Rattus norvegicus: one gene and its partners. The protein of the gene in region 1 purifies or fractionates together with the protein of each later gene. This does not show direct contact. Links are inferred from orthologs where the notes say so. Each region holds a gene or a part of one and is shown in the gene's direction. Other genes may lie near its edges.

Evidence for each region.
Region 2: the proteins of Rictor (region 1) and Fbxw7 purify together in Homo sapiens (affinity purification with western blotting; 3 studies listed by BioGRID, with this or other methods). This does not show direct contact. The link is inferred for Rattus norvegicus from reciprocal best matches to the Homo sapiens genes RICTOR and FBXW7.
Region 3: the proteins of Rictor (region 1) and Flna purify together in Homo sapiens (affinity purification with mass spectrometry; 3 studies listed by BioGRID and IntAct, with this or other methods). This does not show direct contact. The link is inferred for Rattus norvegicus from reciprocal best matches to the Homo sapiens genes RICTOR and FLNA.

The regions. Positions count from the first base shown.
Region 1 is NC_086020.1:57,625,352-57,629,908, forward strand, and holds part of Rictor (rapamycin-insensitive companion of mTOR), read left to right. Parts: intron 1-98; coding exon 99-222; intron 223-1,371; coding exon 1,372-1,510; intron 1,511-1,652; coding exon 1,653-1,727; 3' UTR 1,728-4,557. UniProt on the Homo sapiens protein: Component of the mechanistic target of rapamycin complex 2 (mTORC2), which transduces signals from growth factors to pathways involved in proliferation, cytoskeletal organization, lipogenesis and anabolic output.
Region 2 is NC_086020.1:172,445,541-172,451,458, forward strand, and holds the start of Fbxw7 (F-box/WD repeat-containing protein 7), read left to right. Parts: upstream 1-2,197; 5' UTR 2,198-3,351; exon of another isoform or gene 3,352-3,385; intron 3,386-5,918. UniProt on the Homo sapiens protein: Substrate recognition component of a SCF (SKP1-CUL1-F-box protein) E3 ubiquitin-protein ligase complex which mediates the ubiquitination and subsequent proteasomal degradation of target proteins.
Region 3 is NC_086039.1:157,178,623-157,184,404, reverse strand, and holds the start of Flna (filamin-A), read left to right. Parts: upstream 1-2,061; 5' UTR 2,062-2,230; coding exon 2,231-2,603; intron 2,604-5,466; coding exon 5,467-5,715; intron 5,716-5,782. UniProt on the Homo sapiens protein: Promotes orthogonal branching of actin filaments and links actin filaments to membrane glycoproteins. Anchors various transmembrane proteins to the actin cytoskeleton and serves as a scaffold for a wide range of cytoplasmic signaling proteins.

The DNA.
Region 1 (4,557 bases):
TTTTAGTTGCTTATGTAGTCTGAAAATAGATCCCGTGGCCTGTAATCATTCTGTATTGTGATGTGCTCAGGGGCCTCACTCTGGCGTCTTCATTTCAGGTGTTAAAACCATCCCAGATGACACACCCATGTGCCGCATCCTGCTCCGTAAAGAAGTGCTGAGATTGGTTGTCAATTTGAGTAGTTCAGTCTCCACCAAGTGTCACGAAACCGGGCTGTTGACGTGAGTAACTGTGTGAAGAGTGTCAGCTTGCTTTGCTTTGCAAGTTGTGACAGAGACACTTGTGCTCCATCGCTGTGGACATCACAGGCTGCCTTCCTGCTGTGGGCTCCCCCCCTGAGTGGGTCTTACAGGGGATGCGCTGGGGGCCTCAGTCTGTAGAGAAGATTGCAGGCCAGAGTGAGTGAGGATCCAGCCAGACTTTTAAACAGATCTGCACAACTGGGAAACTAACTCTAAAAGCAGGGCCATCCTTGCACACCCCCCTCTTTTTGTTTTGCTAAAATTTGGGGGTTTTAATTAAATAACTTACTATTTAACCTATACAATGTTTTTAAAATTTCTAAATTCCAGTTTCTGAAGTTGGTGGCTATAACTCATACCAAAAATAAATAAATAAATAAATAAATAAATAAATAAATAAATAAAGCTTTTTAGATTTTTTCAAGAAAGTTGAGGAAGACCAAAAGACTATATGCTTGAGAAGCAAGTTTAGGTAATAAACTGGTGGGATTTCCTGGCTAAATTGTGTTTCTAAGTCAAAGCCTGATAATGAAAATGTATTTGCATGGCTTGAAGCAGCGATTGTCTGAAGAAGTATACATGCTATTGGTGTTGGCTGTGTGGTCCGGGGCTGCAGAAGCGAGCCTTCAGCCCAGCCTCCCACCCACGCGGCTGGCTCTGAGGTGCTGTTCTCATAATAACTTGAAATGAACTTTACTTAAATGCCTTACAGTGTGAGCATGTTATGTAGTCATGTGAGTCTGATAAGATTCATGATTTTCTTACGTTACTAGAAAATAACTACAAGAAGCATTCAGCTTTTGATAATCATCGAAAAGCAGAAACTTAAACTGTCTAAAGTGTGAAGTAGAGAGGCTTCACGTTAAGTGGATGCGCATGTGATCATGGCAGACAGAGGCAGGAGGGTTGGAGGGAATGAATGAGGCATGGAGGCATTGGTCACGGCTGGAAGAAAAAAAGAGACAGACAAACCGATTGACTTTCTTATACTGTTAAGCCACCATTCCTAACATTTCATCTAATCAGTATCTGGAGAGAGAAAAAAATGAGCAGAAACTGCCATTTTGAGGGGTAAAATGAACAAATCATGTTAGAGTTTTATTACCACGTGGTCTCTCTTCATCTTAGCATTAAAGAGAAGTACCCGCAAACATTTGATGACATCTGCCTTTACTCTGAAGTCTCTCACCTGCTGTCACACTGCACATTCAGACTTCCCTGCCGGAGGTTCATACAGGAGTTGTTCCAGGATGTACAGTTCTTACAGGTAAGTAAGACTGCGTTCTGAAGTTTGTCTCCCTGAATTATTCTGTATTTGAAGTAAGTTGAAAGATTATATCTATATTATGTGCCATTTTTGGTTTTTTTTGTTTTTTTTTTTAAATTAACAATGTATTACTTTTTCCTAGATGCATGAAGAAGCAGAGGCTGTGTTGGCAATTCCACCAAATCAACCTATAGTTGACGAATCTGCCGAATCCTGACCTCATATTTATGATGTTTATAGCTAGAAACTATATATGTATTCAAACTTGTGGATTTCCTAAAAGCCTCACAGAGTACTGACTGGCTGACAGCGAGGCAGGAGAGTCTTCTGACTGTGGCCAGCAGTGATTGGTACAGAACTGCTAGAGCTGCTGGCATCCCCAGCCAGGCCACCTTCTCTCCCGTGTCGGGCCCTTCTTGGGGTTCGTGATTCATTACCACGGTTTTAATTCAGTTATCATCTTATGCAAGAGCTAAGCACTGAATACCTACATAGGTTTTCTATTTTTTTATTTTAAAAGCATAAGGGCAGTGGAACAAAACAGGACATGAAGAAGCATCCTTCACACAGTTGTTTCTGAATGCTTTTTAATCAAGGGTAAATGCAAAAGATGCCTTGTTTGTTAACTAGTGTGTGGAAACCAGGAGTCACTGACTGTAAGGCTGCATCCTGCTACCCACGGCTGTAACTGCTGGTATCAGGAGCACGCTGGCCTCTCCACACTCCCTCATGTCTGTGACACTACTTCAGAGGCTGATAACTCCAGAGCAAAGGGAGCCCAACACTTGCAACGTGGGAGTTATTTGATGATGCTAGACTGCATACGGATGCCTGTTCGTTCTCCTCTGCAGCTTTGTTGCAATGTGTTCTTAAAGGCTGTTCTTACTAATTAAGGGTTTTCACTACAATGTGATCAAAAGAAATAGTAAATTTGAAATACTTCTCATGTCCAGAACACATTATAGCCAGTGGCCTTCCGACCTCATCAACTCTTCTCACCACTGAATACAAATTGGACAAGCATTAGTGGTCTGGACCCAAAGCAAAGGAAAGCATTAAGTGATACTGCAATCTCTCAAGGAAAAGACAAGTTTGCCTGCAATTCACACATTCCATGGAAAAAAGGAAGAGCCATATGTCCTATTAAAAAGTCATTGAGACTCGTTTTTAAGAGGAAAAATTGTGGTGAAAGCCTTAATTACTAAATTTTAAAGAGGGATAATTTAATTGTTGTTAGTGTTCCTGTTTTGCATAAATTGCAGTTATAGGTGAGTTATGAGTACAGTCATTGCCTTTATCACATTTGTGAAGTCGATGAGGGCAAGGCTTGTCTGTCTGTCTAATTTGTATATGTATAAAGACACTTGGAAATCTTCACGGGAATTAAACATATATGCAAATCTGTACATAACATAGCATGAGCATCATGACTAGAATGCTTATCTGTGAGAGGCTGTCTTTTGAAACCATCTATAGAACAGACCATCCAGCTGGACTGACTGGGACCCTCTAATTCCTTTCTGTAGCCCATTTTACAATGCACATCAGCTTTACCACGTCATAGACGTTGCTCCATATTTCCCCACGTTGTACACCCTTCTCATAATGCTCTTGTTTGCAGGGTCGCTGTAAAGTGCCCTGTGAACTAGGAAGCATAACTCACAGAGATTTTTCTTATAATTTGCTGGCACTGAAAGTTCGCACTGGGATGAAGATTTCATCTCCCTCCCTAACTTCTTCGACTGCACTTCAGCGAGTTGTTCTCATGTGCACTGTGTAGCAACCTCCATGGCAACAAAGCAGACAAGGGCTCTAAGCTGCTGCTCGTGGTACAACACCGTTCTCGTTCTCGGAAAATCAGTGAGGAGAAAACTTCGATTTAAATGTCAGCAGTGCTTCTCAGAGCATGCCTGTCACTTTGGTCTTTGGTCTTGGATAATAAAACTGCCTTTCCAGAGAACCAAATGTCAGAGATACTAGACCAAATAGTGGTTACAATTCCAAAGGAAGTAATGTAGTCTTATTCATAAATGGGATTAACATTTTAGACATTCATTTTAAACACTACCTCAGTTAACAGAGTATAAAATCTGTGGTTTCGTCCCTCGAAAGTTAACAATAACTCTTCTTGTTTGTTTCTCTTCACACAAAACTATGCCCAGCCTTGCGCACCTGAGTCAGCCATCCTGAAATTGAGGCTGTGCCCTAGTGTCCTACGCATCTGTTTTGTTTTGACTTTTGACTGTTACTTTGAAAGAGGAGAGAGAGAGAGAGAGAGAGAGAGAGAGAGAGAGTGTGTGTGTGTGTGTGTGTGTGTGTGTGTGTGTGTGTGTGTGTGTGTGTTGTCATGTCTGCCTATAGCACTTACTTTGGGAAGGTATCAGAGCTTTGTGATTATCGGTAAATTGGGGGATATTGTCTATGCTTACATTTATAGTGCAATTTGGTTTAACCATGGTTTCACCAACAGGTGTAATACATTTCCTTTAAGTACGTGTATAAAAGTAGACTTTTATGACAAAAACTACATGCAGTGCCAAGTGATTAGCATAGGTGTTTACGACTATTAAATTATAGCAGGTTATAAATGATGTCAATGATAAAAGAAATCATTGAGAAAATTGTCTATAAATATTAGATATTACCAAAATATCAATACTGTAGTTTTTCAAGAGTTTAGAATTACTCTTAGTCATATAAATTTGTACTATTGATAATTAATAATTTGGAGGAGTTTGAACAGTTAAGCTGGTTGTAAACTGTGAATTTCTAATTGTAAATTGTCATTTCTAATTGAAGTTTTTTTCAAGAACAGATTTCAGCTTCACATACTAAGTAAATACTGACAAATTTAAAAAAATGAGTAATTTAGTATTTATAAGAAAATAGGCTCTAAAATTTCTTTTACTTTTCTGTTTCTGCTTAGAGTACATTGGAGGAAGAAAGTGTTCTCTCTAACTTAAGTGTTTCTGATAAAGAGTAAGAGTAGAGACATCCCATAAGACAGTGGCATTACAAGGCTGTTAGAAGTGCATGCACTGCGGCTG
Region 2 (5,918 bases), about 110 Mb from region 1:
TGGAAATCTGATTTAGCGGCTATATTTCTCCTCTAGATTATCAGACAATATGAGGAACTAAAAGGATATACAACAAATTGGAGATGTATGAATTCCTTCCTCTCCAGCAGCCAGTTGTAGACAGCTGTTTACTCCTGTTACCAGGCTGGGCAAGGAGGAGAATGGACTTTCAGTGAGCGTTAGTGCAGCTACTATTCCTGAGGAGGTTGCTCAGGGCTCCTGTGAGTCTCATTCTGACCCTCACTGATGAGGTTCTAAATTGGAGCCACTGACAATGAGGCAGATCCGACTCTGACACTCCCCATGGTGCACTTCTCCGGAAGCATCCTTGGTTGTGGAGCTCTGATGTTTGTACTCTTTCCACTCAAAGTCCACAAACTTTAACTCTGAGGAGCTCAGCTTCCCCAAACTCCTCTGCACCTGTATTTTATTTAATTTCTGCTGTAAGGAGGAGAGTTCAACAAAAGGATTATGTTGCAGCTATGTTGGGCTATTGTTGAATTGATCTGATTCCCTGTGAATCTTACTGGAATACAGCCTGCGAATGGATCATGTTTGTAGACACTTAAATCCAGGGTAATTAGGGCAAGTTGTTTGACGCCTGGGATTTCAGGTAGAGTACAGAGGGTCTGGTGCAACTTGCCTCTTCTTGCTTTTGTGGCCTCCTCCTCTCTCCTTTACTCACTTTTTTTTTTTTTTTTTGGCTTTTGTCATCTCTGAACAAAAAAATGAACCCTTGATTTATCAACATAGACATTTTCTTGATCTATGTTGCATGAGGTGGTACAGCAGTGGCATAAACCTAGGCTTGCTTCTTAAATGTGTGCAGAGTGTGTTTGGCCCAATCTCCCATCACTGTTGCTTCCAGAGGGACGGGGTGCAGGCAGGTCCAGCCACACAACGGTTTCCCTTCATCTTAGCTGCTGCTTTAATCTCACTGTCAGACCGCTAAGAAGGGTAGGTTCAAGACAGATTTCTGAACACTGTGGTTCTTTATCTCGAAAATTCTTTTACTAGAGGACCATAGCTTAAATTTCATGAGTTTTTTCTTAAACTTATTTCCCAGACCAGAATCTGTAAGACAAACGGCTTAATAGATTTATTAATAACATACCTCTACCCCCCCACCCCCGGCCGCTAACACACACAGTGGGAGAGGGAGGGAGGAAGGGAGAGAGGAGAGGTATTGAGACTTGAGAGTCGCCAAAATGTTTTGAAGACGGTAAGGGGCACTCTGATGAACAAAATCAGCTCTCTAAAAAGTTCCCCCAAATCTAAACGACAAACAAGAATGACTCTTAAAAGGGAGGCTGTTTTCCAACCCTAGTAATTTCGCCTCCTTTCCCACAAAAGCCTGAAGTTGCGACTCTCAACAAACAGCCTCTCATCTCTTTCCTTTCATTGCATGTGGCGGGTGGGGGTGAGGAGGGAGATGTATTACAACTCTCACGTTTCTACACTTCAATTTACAAAACGCTTGCGCTTCCACCATCACCTCGGAGTTCCGCTAAGGCTGTGCTAGAGGCAGGCTTGTATACACTTATACACACACACACACACACACACACACACACACACACACTCACTCACTCACTCACTCACTCACTCACTACACAGAATGCAGCGCCAGGTTTCACCCCACGCCACGGGAAGGGTGGGGTGGCTCGCTCCGGGGAGCAGGTGCAACCTCTGGGCTGTAGGTTAACTTTTCCACCCGTCTCTCTGTTTGAAGATCTGCTCCGGACCAAATGCCTCACCTTCGGGTGGTGCGCGCCCTAGCCCGGTCCCTGGCCTCCTCCTCACTCCCAGAGGAGCAGTTCGCACCTGCCCCGGAGGGAACGGCTACGGAGCTCTCTCTCCGCGCCCTAGGGTCAGGGGTAAGATTAGGCGGTAGCTTAGGCTCGCCTGGGCTCCTCCCCTTCCTCTCTTCAGTTCTGACGCGGCCGTAGAGGCGGCGGCGGAGGCAGCGGCGGCGGTAGCAGCAGCAGTCCCGCGGCCCGAGGCGCACCCACCCGCTCCCAGATCTCGACTTCCTTTTCCCTTTGTGCGTCATCAGAACGCGCCACAGCCTCCCAGGGCGGGGTGGCTGGAGATGGGGAGAAAAGGCCAGCAAAGGAAGGCGCAGAGTGGAAGGGGAAGGGAGGGAGAGGAGAGCGGTTGCTAGGCGACTTACGTCATCGCTGGGCGCCGCTCTCCTCCCGCCCCTCTCTGGAGTGAGGCGAGAGCCCCGCACAGAGCGAGAGAGACAGCGAGCTGAGCTTCGGGCGCTGCCGCCGCCGCCGGTGAGAGCGAGTGAGTGAGCGAGCGAGCATCCGAGAGACCCGGCACCCGTGCACTGGCCGCCGCCGAGACCTTCGCCGCAGCCCGGGCCATCGGGAGCCGTGGCCGCCGTCTGCTCCCCCCCTTACCTTCCCGGCCGGCAGCGGCTGCTGCACACGCCGAAGCGGGAGCCCCAGCCAGAGCCGGAGCCAGAGCCGGAGCCGGAGCCCGCGGCCGGGGGGCAGGGAGGCGGCTGCCGCCGGTCGGGACTCGTAGCTGCTCAGCCGGGAGAGGACGCCCGCGAGGGGCTGGGCTTTCTGCCTCGCCCCGGAGTGTGGGGCGAAGGACCCCCCGAGGTGTAGGGAGGGGGTCCCGGCCGCCGCGACACATGCGGGAGCCGGGAGCGGGGGCGGCGCCGATCCGAGCCCGCCGGGTCCCCAGCCTTGCCGCCGTCCAGACCGGCCGACCCGGGCCGTAGCATCCCATAGCGGAGTGTATGAACCGGGGCCCCCAGCCCAGGAGCCACCTCCGGGCCGGGGGGGCGGGGACCCCGATGTGAAACGGCCGCGGCGGCGTGGTGAGCGGCCCGGGCGCCGCTGTCCTCTCCTTCCCCTCCCCTCCCCTTCACCCCCTCTGGGGGGCTTCTCCTTGGGCCCGCCGCCGCACCCCGGCTCCTCGGCGGGACTCCAGGAGTTCTCGGCGCCCCCTCCCCGCCCCAGCCCCCCAGGGCGGCGGGGCCGGGGGGGACTCGGGGGGCCGGCTGCAGCCTCCGCCCAGAGGAAACTTTACCCAAACAAAATCTTCGAGCTTTCTGATTGTGACTGTCCCGGGACAAGTGGCCCAGGACGGGCTGAAGCCACAGCCTGCAGAGACCCAGGAAGAGAAAAAGCGGTGAGCGGGGCTGCTGCCGCTGCCGCCGCCGCCGCCTCAGCTTCTATCCCGGCAGCGCGGAAGAGACCCGGGTAGCTGCTCCGTGGAGCGACGCTAGCACCGCTTCTTAGTTCCGCGCCTAGCCTTCCGCAGCTGCCCGCCTCAGCCCGAAGGAGGAAGGGAGCCAGCCACATTGTCAGCGCCACCGCTCGTCTCTGAAGCGTGAGTGGACCCGAAGGAGGGGGGACATTATAAGGTGACAAGTGGGAGCGGGTGGGTGCTTTGATGGTGGAGTTGGGCTGTTTCTCGGGAGGGTTGGCAGTGGAGACCTTTCCTTTCTAATTTCGGGAGAAAGCGTCAGTTTGCAGGAGTAATGCAAGTACTCGGGCGTTTTTCTTAGAGGAGCTGTGTGGACAGCTCTGTCCTCTACCTTTTTCTGGCAACCTGATTCTGGCAGTGGTTTTTGTTTCAGGGAAACTCCCATGGATTCCCACGTGGGAATCACTTGAATCAACTCTTATTTTATTTTATTTTTTTTCCTTTCCTAACTATTGTTTTTGAAGTTGCCCTGGTCAGGAAGACCAATTTTGATTTTAGTGCAAAGAGGGGTTTGGTGCCCCCAGCGCTTTATTTCATAAGTCCACAGACTCCAATGTGTAGAGTCCTTGTTTGCATGTTTCATTTGGCTCAGGAGAATCCGAGTTCCTAGGATGCACAACTCGCTGAAACTTATTTCAGGGAGAGCACTTGCAACTTCTCTCTCTCTCTCTCTTTCTCTCTCTCTCTCTCTCTCTCTCTCTCTCTCTCTCTCTCGTCATCTATTTTAAGTGATAACACATTTCTACTAGGGACTGAAAGGACATGCATGCTGCTTTTCTTATTTGGCTCTACTTGTCAACATAGAAACTTGTACTCTTTTAAGAAAGCACTTAGCACACTGAGTGCTAAATTAGAGGTACAGAAAAGTAATGTTTCAACTATGTAAGGTTAAACTAAACATCTTAAGGCAAGTACTGTGGGATTTTGTGTAACAAGGAACATAGGCAGTGTAAGACTGAGAACGCCGGTCCACCCAGACAACTAAATTTGGGCAGAATAGAGATCCTCCGTAGAAATGAATGGAAACCTGGGAGTATCCATTTATCTATCCACCCATTCTAATCTCTCCATTTAGGATCTTGATTAAATTTCTTTGAAAGTTTCTCACACTTCACAATGTTCTCCCCTCCTCTTCTTAAAGTAAGGAACCTTCAAGTTTATTATTCTGCACTATGTAACAATTTACTTCTCTTTGTCCTGCCTTCTCAATCTTTCAGGATACAGTTTCTTTGAGGAATGCTAAAACACTGTGAGCTAATCTTACATTTCTTATAGACTTTGTTTGATTTCTCCTATCATCTGTTCCAACTTTTTTTTTTTTTTTTTTTTTTTTTTTAGTTTACAGGTTTCAGGTTGTTTATTTCAGTGGAAGTTGAATAAATATATTCAGTGGTCACAGTATTGTCATCCTATCCTCTGACACAGATATATTATCTTGATCTAAAACAAAATTAATTTTTGCACATAACCAGAGGCCCATATTCCACCATGGTCTTTAATAATCAATGAACCTAACTGTGGCCCTTTGTTCCAACTTTTTTTAAAAGACAGTTTTACTATGTTACCTTGACTGTCCTGGAATTATCTCTGTAGACCAGGCTGGCCTAGTATTCACAGAGATGTACCTGCTTCTGCCTTCTAAGTGCTGGCTGGAATTAAAAGGTGTGTGTCCTGACTGCCAGCCATGTTGAAACTTTTGTGGCCCCCCAAACCCCATTTCTTTGGCTATCTTTCCCCTCTTTCTGGGTCTTCTAGCTCTTTATGTTTTGTTAGATACTTTGTTCTTCTTATGCTTTTACAAGACACCTTACATTCTACTTAAGTGGCATGAAAATATTGAATGGTAAATTTCTTTAGATTTAGAATAAAACACATTTTTTGATTTGCTAACCTTACTTTGTTACCCTGAGAAAGTCATGTATTCCAGCTTTGAAAAAGATGATACTTGAGAAACTTAGACTTGCATAGTTTGCTTCTTGGAAAGAAGGAGAGAATAAACCAAGAAGTGGTACTTTGAGTTTGTATTGCATCTGGTCAAAGTTGCTTACCAACTGGAGGACCTGCTTTGTGGGAAAACTGGTTTTAAATTGTGGAAATACTTTACTGTAATAAGAAATAAGTAATAAGAAAACATTTGCTACTTTCAGTCTTTGAGGGTGCCTTTTCTTACCAATACCAGAGGCAATCAATATAAATTGTACAAAACTTTAGGAAAGATTGGGCTGGTGTGATAGCTCCGTGGGTAAAGCTGCTTGCTGCATAAGTCTAAGGACATGTAGTCCAGCGGTGGAAGGAGAAAACTTAACTGTACAGAGTTGTCCTCTGACCTGTGCTGTGTGCATGAACATGTAGTAGTAGTAGTAGTAGTAGTAGTAGTAGTAGTAGTAGTAGTAGTAGTGTGGCAGTAGTAGTAAAAATAAATACATTTCTTAAAAATGTCAGAAAGGGGGACATGTGTCGCCATTATTACTCTTAAGATTACTATATGTCAGGGAATGCCATTGCACATTTTTATTAGGGAAATACTGATTTTGGATGACCCAGGAATAATTGGAGTGTCTGAGCCAAATCGTGGAAAGGCTCTTTTAGGAAGAAAAGAGCGTACACAAACAAAACTAAAGACTTAGAGTCAGAGTATGTAAAAGGGGAGATCTAATTGGGAAGCTAGTTTGAAAGGAATACCTACTGAG
Region 3 (5,782 bases), on another chromosome or scaffold:
GCGACATCTGGTGGTGACACTTGTCCACACAGAATGTCCCCCCACCCAATTCCCTTTTTCTCCCTAAATAGCCAAATCATAGGGCTGGGAAACACAAGTTCTTTGTGCTCTCTCTGTGTTATGGTTCAATTTTCCTTGTTCTTTGTAAATTGATGAACTCAGGTGATCCACCCAAATGGCACTGAGTGGAAAATCATTTATTGATGCAATTCCATACATGGGGATTTGCTCTCCAATAGGTGAGGGGGACCAGAAATATTACCCTAATCGTGTCTTGAATAACATCACTGGAAGTTTCCATTTGGGTTACCCTTTCACAGTTCTGCCATCCTGTCCCCCAACTCAACCTTTGGCTCACTTATGAAAACAGAAAAGGAGAGGATATCTTCTTCTTTATGTAGGTGATGGGATGGGGTGGTGGTTCTCTACTGAAAATGTTATTTGACTGGTAATATTATAGACAATCTCAAGATGACCATGCTGAAAGGTGATGCCCATTATGATCAAAGTCCTATCATAGTGTCACCACAGGCAATGAAGACACTCCAGGCCATGGGAGAGTCAACCATATTTGGGCATGACATGTTAGCCAACCCAAGGCCTTCTTCAGCCACTGGTCTTTTTTTACTTATTAATTTTATGTGCATAGTTTTGCCTGCATTCATGTCTGTGTGAGGGTGTCAGATCCCCTGGACCTGAACTTATAGACAGTTGTAAGGGTGCTGGGAATTGAACCCAGGTTTTCTAGAAGAGCAGCCAGTGCTCTAACCACGGAGCCATCTCTCCAGCTCCAGCCACTGGGCTTAGAATTGAGAAATAGGGATAAAGACCTGCCTTTCTGGAAAAACAGTTTTAACATTCTGGGGAGGCTTGAAACACAGAGAAAGTAGATGGAAGGAGTCTACCAAGGGAAAGACATATAGGTAAAATGAATCCTCTTAACTTAAGAGGGTGGTTGGGAGTATCCCCACAGTTTTCTTGTCTCTGTATCTTTGCTCCTCATCACTATCTCCAGAAAATATCTGTCATAAAATTAACTTTTAGCAAGTAGCTTCACACTACTCAGGGAACACACCCAGGCTCTTTAGCAAGCCTTGATGTCTGGTGATTCTCCTTCCTTCAGTAATCTTGGACCTATCCCTGAGCTTGGGGCTGTTCTGCCAGAGAAGACTTCTCCCCTCAAAACTCCTCAGGGCCCAAGGTGGATGGAACAGTGAGTTAGGCAGGTACAAGGTGTACCCATCTACATGCATCACACAGCAGGCACCTTCTGATTGTGCCCATTGGCATGCCCTGGACCTTTGGAAAGCTGCTTGGTCCTACAGTGTTGGCGGCCTCTTGTCCCAGTGCTAGCCCCATTTCCTCCAGGATGGAACTAGGCGGCAGAGAGGACGGTGGGAATGGGCCTGTACAGGTGTGCAGGCCAGGGCCATGGAGCCTGTGAAGACCAGCGGAGATGGGTAGCGAGTGCCAGGGGTCTGTGGGTAGTTATGTAGGTGATGAGAGTCCTGTATGACAGCACTTGTGCACACAAAGAGCTCGCAACAGCGTCAGGCGCTGTGGAAAGGTTTGCTCTCAGGATTGGACTCTTCGCATTGCTGTGGACCAGACTGTGGCTGAGAATCCTAAGCTTAGTTTAGGAAGAACAGAGAATGAAGATAGAGCAGGGTACAGGGTTGGGGCGGAGCCCAAGTGATACGGGAACGTTATTAGCTCCGCCCTCTGCAGGGACCCTGGGGTAAGAAAGTCCCTTGTAAGGGTGTGCCGACTGGAGCTGAGCAATTCTGTGACGGCTGGAGCTGAGCAACTCTGTGATAGAATTGCTCAAGTTTTCCTAGATCTGGGGTCCGCTTCCTGTAGTACTGTAACGGATGTTGCTAGACTTTTTTGTGCTCTTTGGGGATCAAAAACCCTTCTGAAGCAGGGGAGCTGAGTTGCTTTGGCGGGGTCGCGGCGGCAGCGGTGGGGGATGGGGGGATTGTGGGAGCATTCCAACGGGAGGGGCGAGGTAGGGCGGGCGCGGTCCACAAGCCCCACCCAGAGGCCCCGCCCCAAGGAAACCTTGCCTCTAGCCCCGCCCTTCGCCCCCATTTAAAGGGCTCGCTCTTTCCGCAGTGCAACCTCTGTTCTGTGCCTCGTCTTTCCTGCGCGGAGGTGCCTACTACTTTAATTAAAGGGCCGTCCCATCGGCGAGGCTGCAGCACCGCCCCTAGGTTCCTCGCGCCTCAAAATGAGTAGCTCTCACTCCCGCTCCGGCCAGAGTGCGGCAGGCGCGTCTCCGGCAGGCGGTATTGATACACGGGACGCTGAGATGCCGGCTACCGAAAAAGACCTAGCAGAAGATGCACCATGGAAGAAGATCCAGCAGAACACATTTACCCGCTGGTGCAATGAGCACCTTAAGTGCGTGAGCAAGCGCATCGCCAATCTGCAGACGGACCTGAGCGATGGATTGCGGCTCATCGCGCTGCTTGAGGTACTCAGCCAGAAGAAGATGCACCGCAAGCACAACCAACGACCCACTTTCCGCCAGATGCAGCTGGAAAATGTGTCTGTGGCGCTTGAATTCCTGGACCGTGAGAGCATCAAGCTCGTGTCCATAGGTGAGAGCGCGGGCCACACTGGGGCACGCGCGGGTGCGGGCGTGGTCACCACAATTCTTCCTCTCTTCCCCTCTAGAGGCTCCCTCTCAGTTCTCCTCCCTAGCTGAAGCACAACCAACGATTCCCCTAGGCCCCTCAGCCGCCTTGTTCTTCGAGGTCCTCGAGAACAAAGGCGCGCAAGCTGGCCTGGGGAGCGTGCGAACCGCTACGCGCCCCCGCCCGCTGCGCCCTGCTGGCCTGCTCCCAGGCTGAGCTCACATCCTCTGTAGGCCGCGCCCCCAACGCTGCACCCGAGGTGGGACAGGCACAGACTAGGCTTCTGCCCCTGAGAGCCGCACCCCATTCCTGGGGATATCCATGCTTTTCACCTACAATAATTTAAAAAGTACCCTTCTAGCCTTCGGCTGCCTCTGCAGTTCTAAAGTGAAGGTTGCACTTTGTTCTATTTATGTAGGACTCCCTCAACTTCTTGCCCTGGAACCTGCTTCCCCATTGGAGATAGTTCAAATTCCCAGTTTATATCTTTTTTTGCTGAACTCGGAGGGGGGCAAGAGATGCATTGCTGGCACCAGTGTACTCCGGGTGTATTGAGTGTGGTTGACTTGGAGGCACTTGGGCACTTGACTGTAGTATATGCTTGGTTGCCAGCTTTGCTGTCTATCATGACTCAAATTCTTGTTTCCATGTAAACTTTGGTTTTGTACTTCTAGAACACAGAGATTGGTTGAAATGTGCTCCAGTGTGCACAGGGTTTACTGCTAGCCCAGTGCCCATGTCTTTGAACTGGAGACGTTGGCATTGGCATTGTCTCTTGCAGAATCCCATGCCTTTTACAAAGTAGGGGTTGCCCATAGACAGGCACCAGAATTGGTAACATGGGAATGTGGAACAGGGAGAGTAGAAGAATGGACTTTTCTCCATAATAGAAAGGGTTTTCTGTTATTCGCACAACTTTGCAATGGTGCAGGCTAGTTAATCCAGTGAGGGACCAAGGTTCTCCTGGGCCCTTAGAGAGCAGATTTGAGTTCATCTTTTTTTTTTTTTTTGGAATGCCATAGAGGCATGCCGGTGGATGTATGAAAACCCACCCCTAGTCCCAGCCCCAGTCTAGCCAGCTGAGTCATTGAGTCATTTCTGAGTCTTGGAGGGGGGCAACCGGATGTGGGGAGGCAGGCCACACCCCAGCTCTTTAGGGGGGTCTCCTCCCCCCTTCTTTCTCCCCTCCTTCTTGTGAGCTGGCTGGAGCAGGCCTAGTTCCCAGAGCTTTGCCATATAAGGCAAAAAAATGTTGGAAAGCAGCAGTGATTAGGGGAGGGAGGGGGCCGGCTGGCCCAGGGGCTGAGGATAAGGGGTGGGATGGGGCGGGGCCATCTAACCAGGCTGCTTCCCAACCCTGGGCCCTGATCCTCTCCTCCACTGGGGGGAGTACGAAGCTGGCATAGCCCCCCACCTAATCAGATTAGGGGAGGGACCAGATGTACCTTACTAAGATGATGGGTCTGCCTTTGCTCTTTCCCTTGGAAGCTACCAAGGACTATGGTCTCCTTGGGGGTTCTTCCGCTGGACCTATGACTTAGGTAGGGCAGGATCCTTGTGTCCTTGGTCTTCTTTGGAACCCCCCCCCCATTCTCTCAGTATTTTGGGACAATGAAAAACATCCACAAAGGGCCAGGATCTGTTTGTGAATCGGAAAGATCACTCTGTTTTGAGAGGCTCAGTAGTAGTTTTTCAGTTACTTTCCCTTTGGGCTGGAATGTTATCTGCTCTCTCAATGGTATCCTCCTAGTTTTCATGACCCTCCCCCATTGACTCACTAGATCAACATTCTCTGATTACAGGGAAGTTCTGTAGGGTTTCCAAAGATGAGCTTTAGAAAATGCTACTCACCATAAGCCATCCACCCTTGAGGAGGTTAAAGAGGTGGCTTTGGGTGGGGCTCAGGGGAGTTGCCATAGTGATGGGTATTTAGGGTGCCCGCCCTAACCACTTCCCTTGTGGCAAGCCTAGTGACTTCCGGAGACCTAGCCCATTAGGTAGCAACTAGACTGGGTGGTGAGTAGCATCTAAGCAGGTTATGCTGAAACAAAGGGACTTAACAAAATGCAAGGCCCCTGTAACAGGGGTTCCCAAGTGGTTCTTGGAACCAAAGGCAGGCTAACTCAGCTGTCACCCCAGGAGTTCCCTATAAGCCTCAATGGGTTGGAACTAACCATAGTTCCTTTGACTTGTGCCCCCTTCCCCAAGCCAGCCCTCTTTATTTGCCACCTCCTGTTTACTAGCTTGGTGGGGGGGACAAGGAAGTAGCAAAGGGTGGAGCTCACACCCTTTTACACAAGGATCCTTACCAACACCCCCACTTCCTCTGCCTTATCCCCCACTCTGGAGCAGCAGTTGTATTTCCTAACTACTCTTTGCCAACTTAGCCTTCCTCTTCTTTGGTTCCAGCCCAACTTGAGGTCAGGGGCCCTGTTTTTGGCCAGTCAGGACTGAGCCACTTCTCTTAGTTCCCATAGATCCCAAGATATTAAGGCAGGTTTTGATCTCAGCAGCTGCAAAGCATTCATCTCACTTGTTCTCCCACCCTCTTTCTGGGCTTTGGGGTTTTTGGCAGAGTCCCTCTTATTGCATTATATTATCATTATGTATCTATGGGTGTCTTCTCAAACTTTCCTTTATCACTAAATATTTTCTTACATGGTTCAGAGGCCCTGGGCAGAGGGAGCTTGATCCACTTAATACCCCTAGTTGGGAGGGGCCTTTTGTCATCTAATTGATTTGCTGTGCTGCTGACTTAGGTCCCTCCTTGCTGACCTTGGTGAGGGAAATCCCTAACTGTGCAGTGCTGCCACCTCTTTTTCCACAGACAGCAAGGCCATTGTGGATGGGAATCTGAAACTGATCTTAGGACTCATCTGGACCCTGATCCTGCACTACTCCATCTCGATGCCCATGTGGGATGAGGAAGAGGATGAGGAGGCCAAGAAGCAAACACCCAAACAGAGGCTTCTAGGCTGGATTCAGAACAAGCTGCCACAGCTGCCCATTACCAACTTCAGTCGAGACTGGCAGAGTGGCCGGGCCCTGGGTGCTCTTGTTGATAGCTGTGCCCCAGGTGAGGGGGCACATAGATGGGGGATCTTGGACTAAGGCTATCTAGTCAGCCTAGAAGGTAGTTCTGT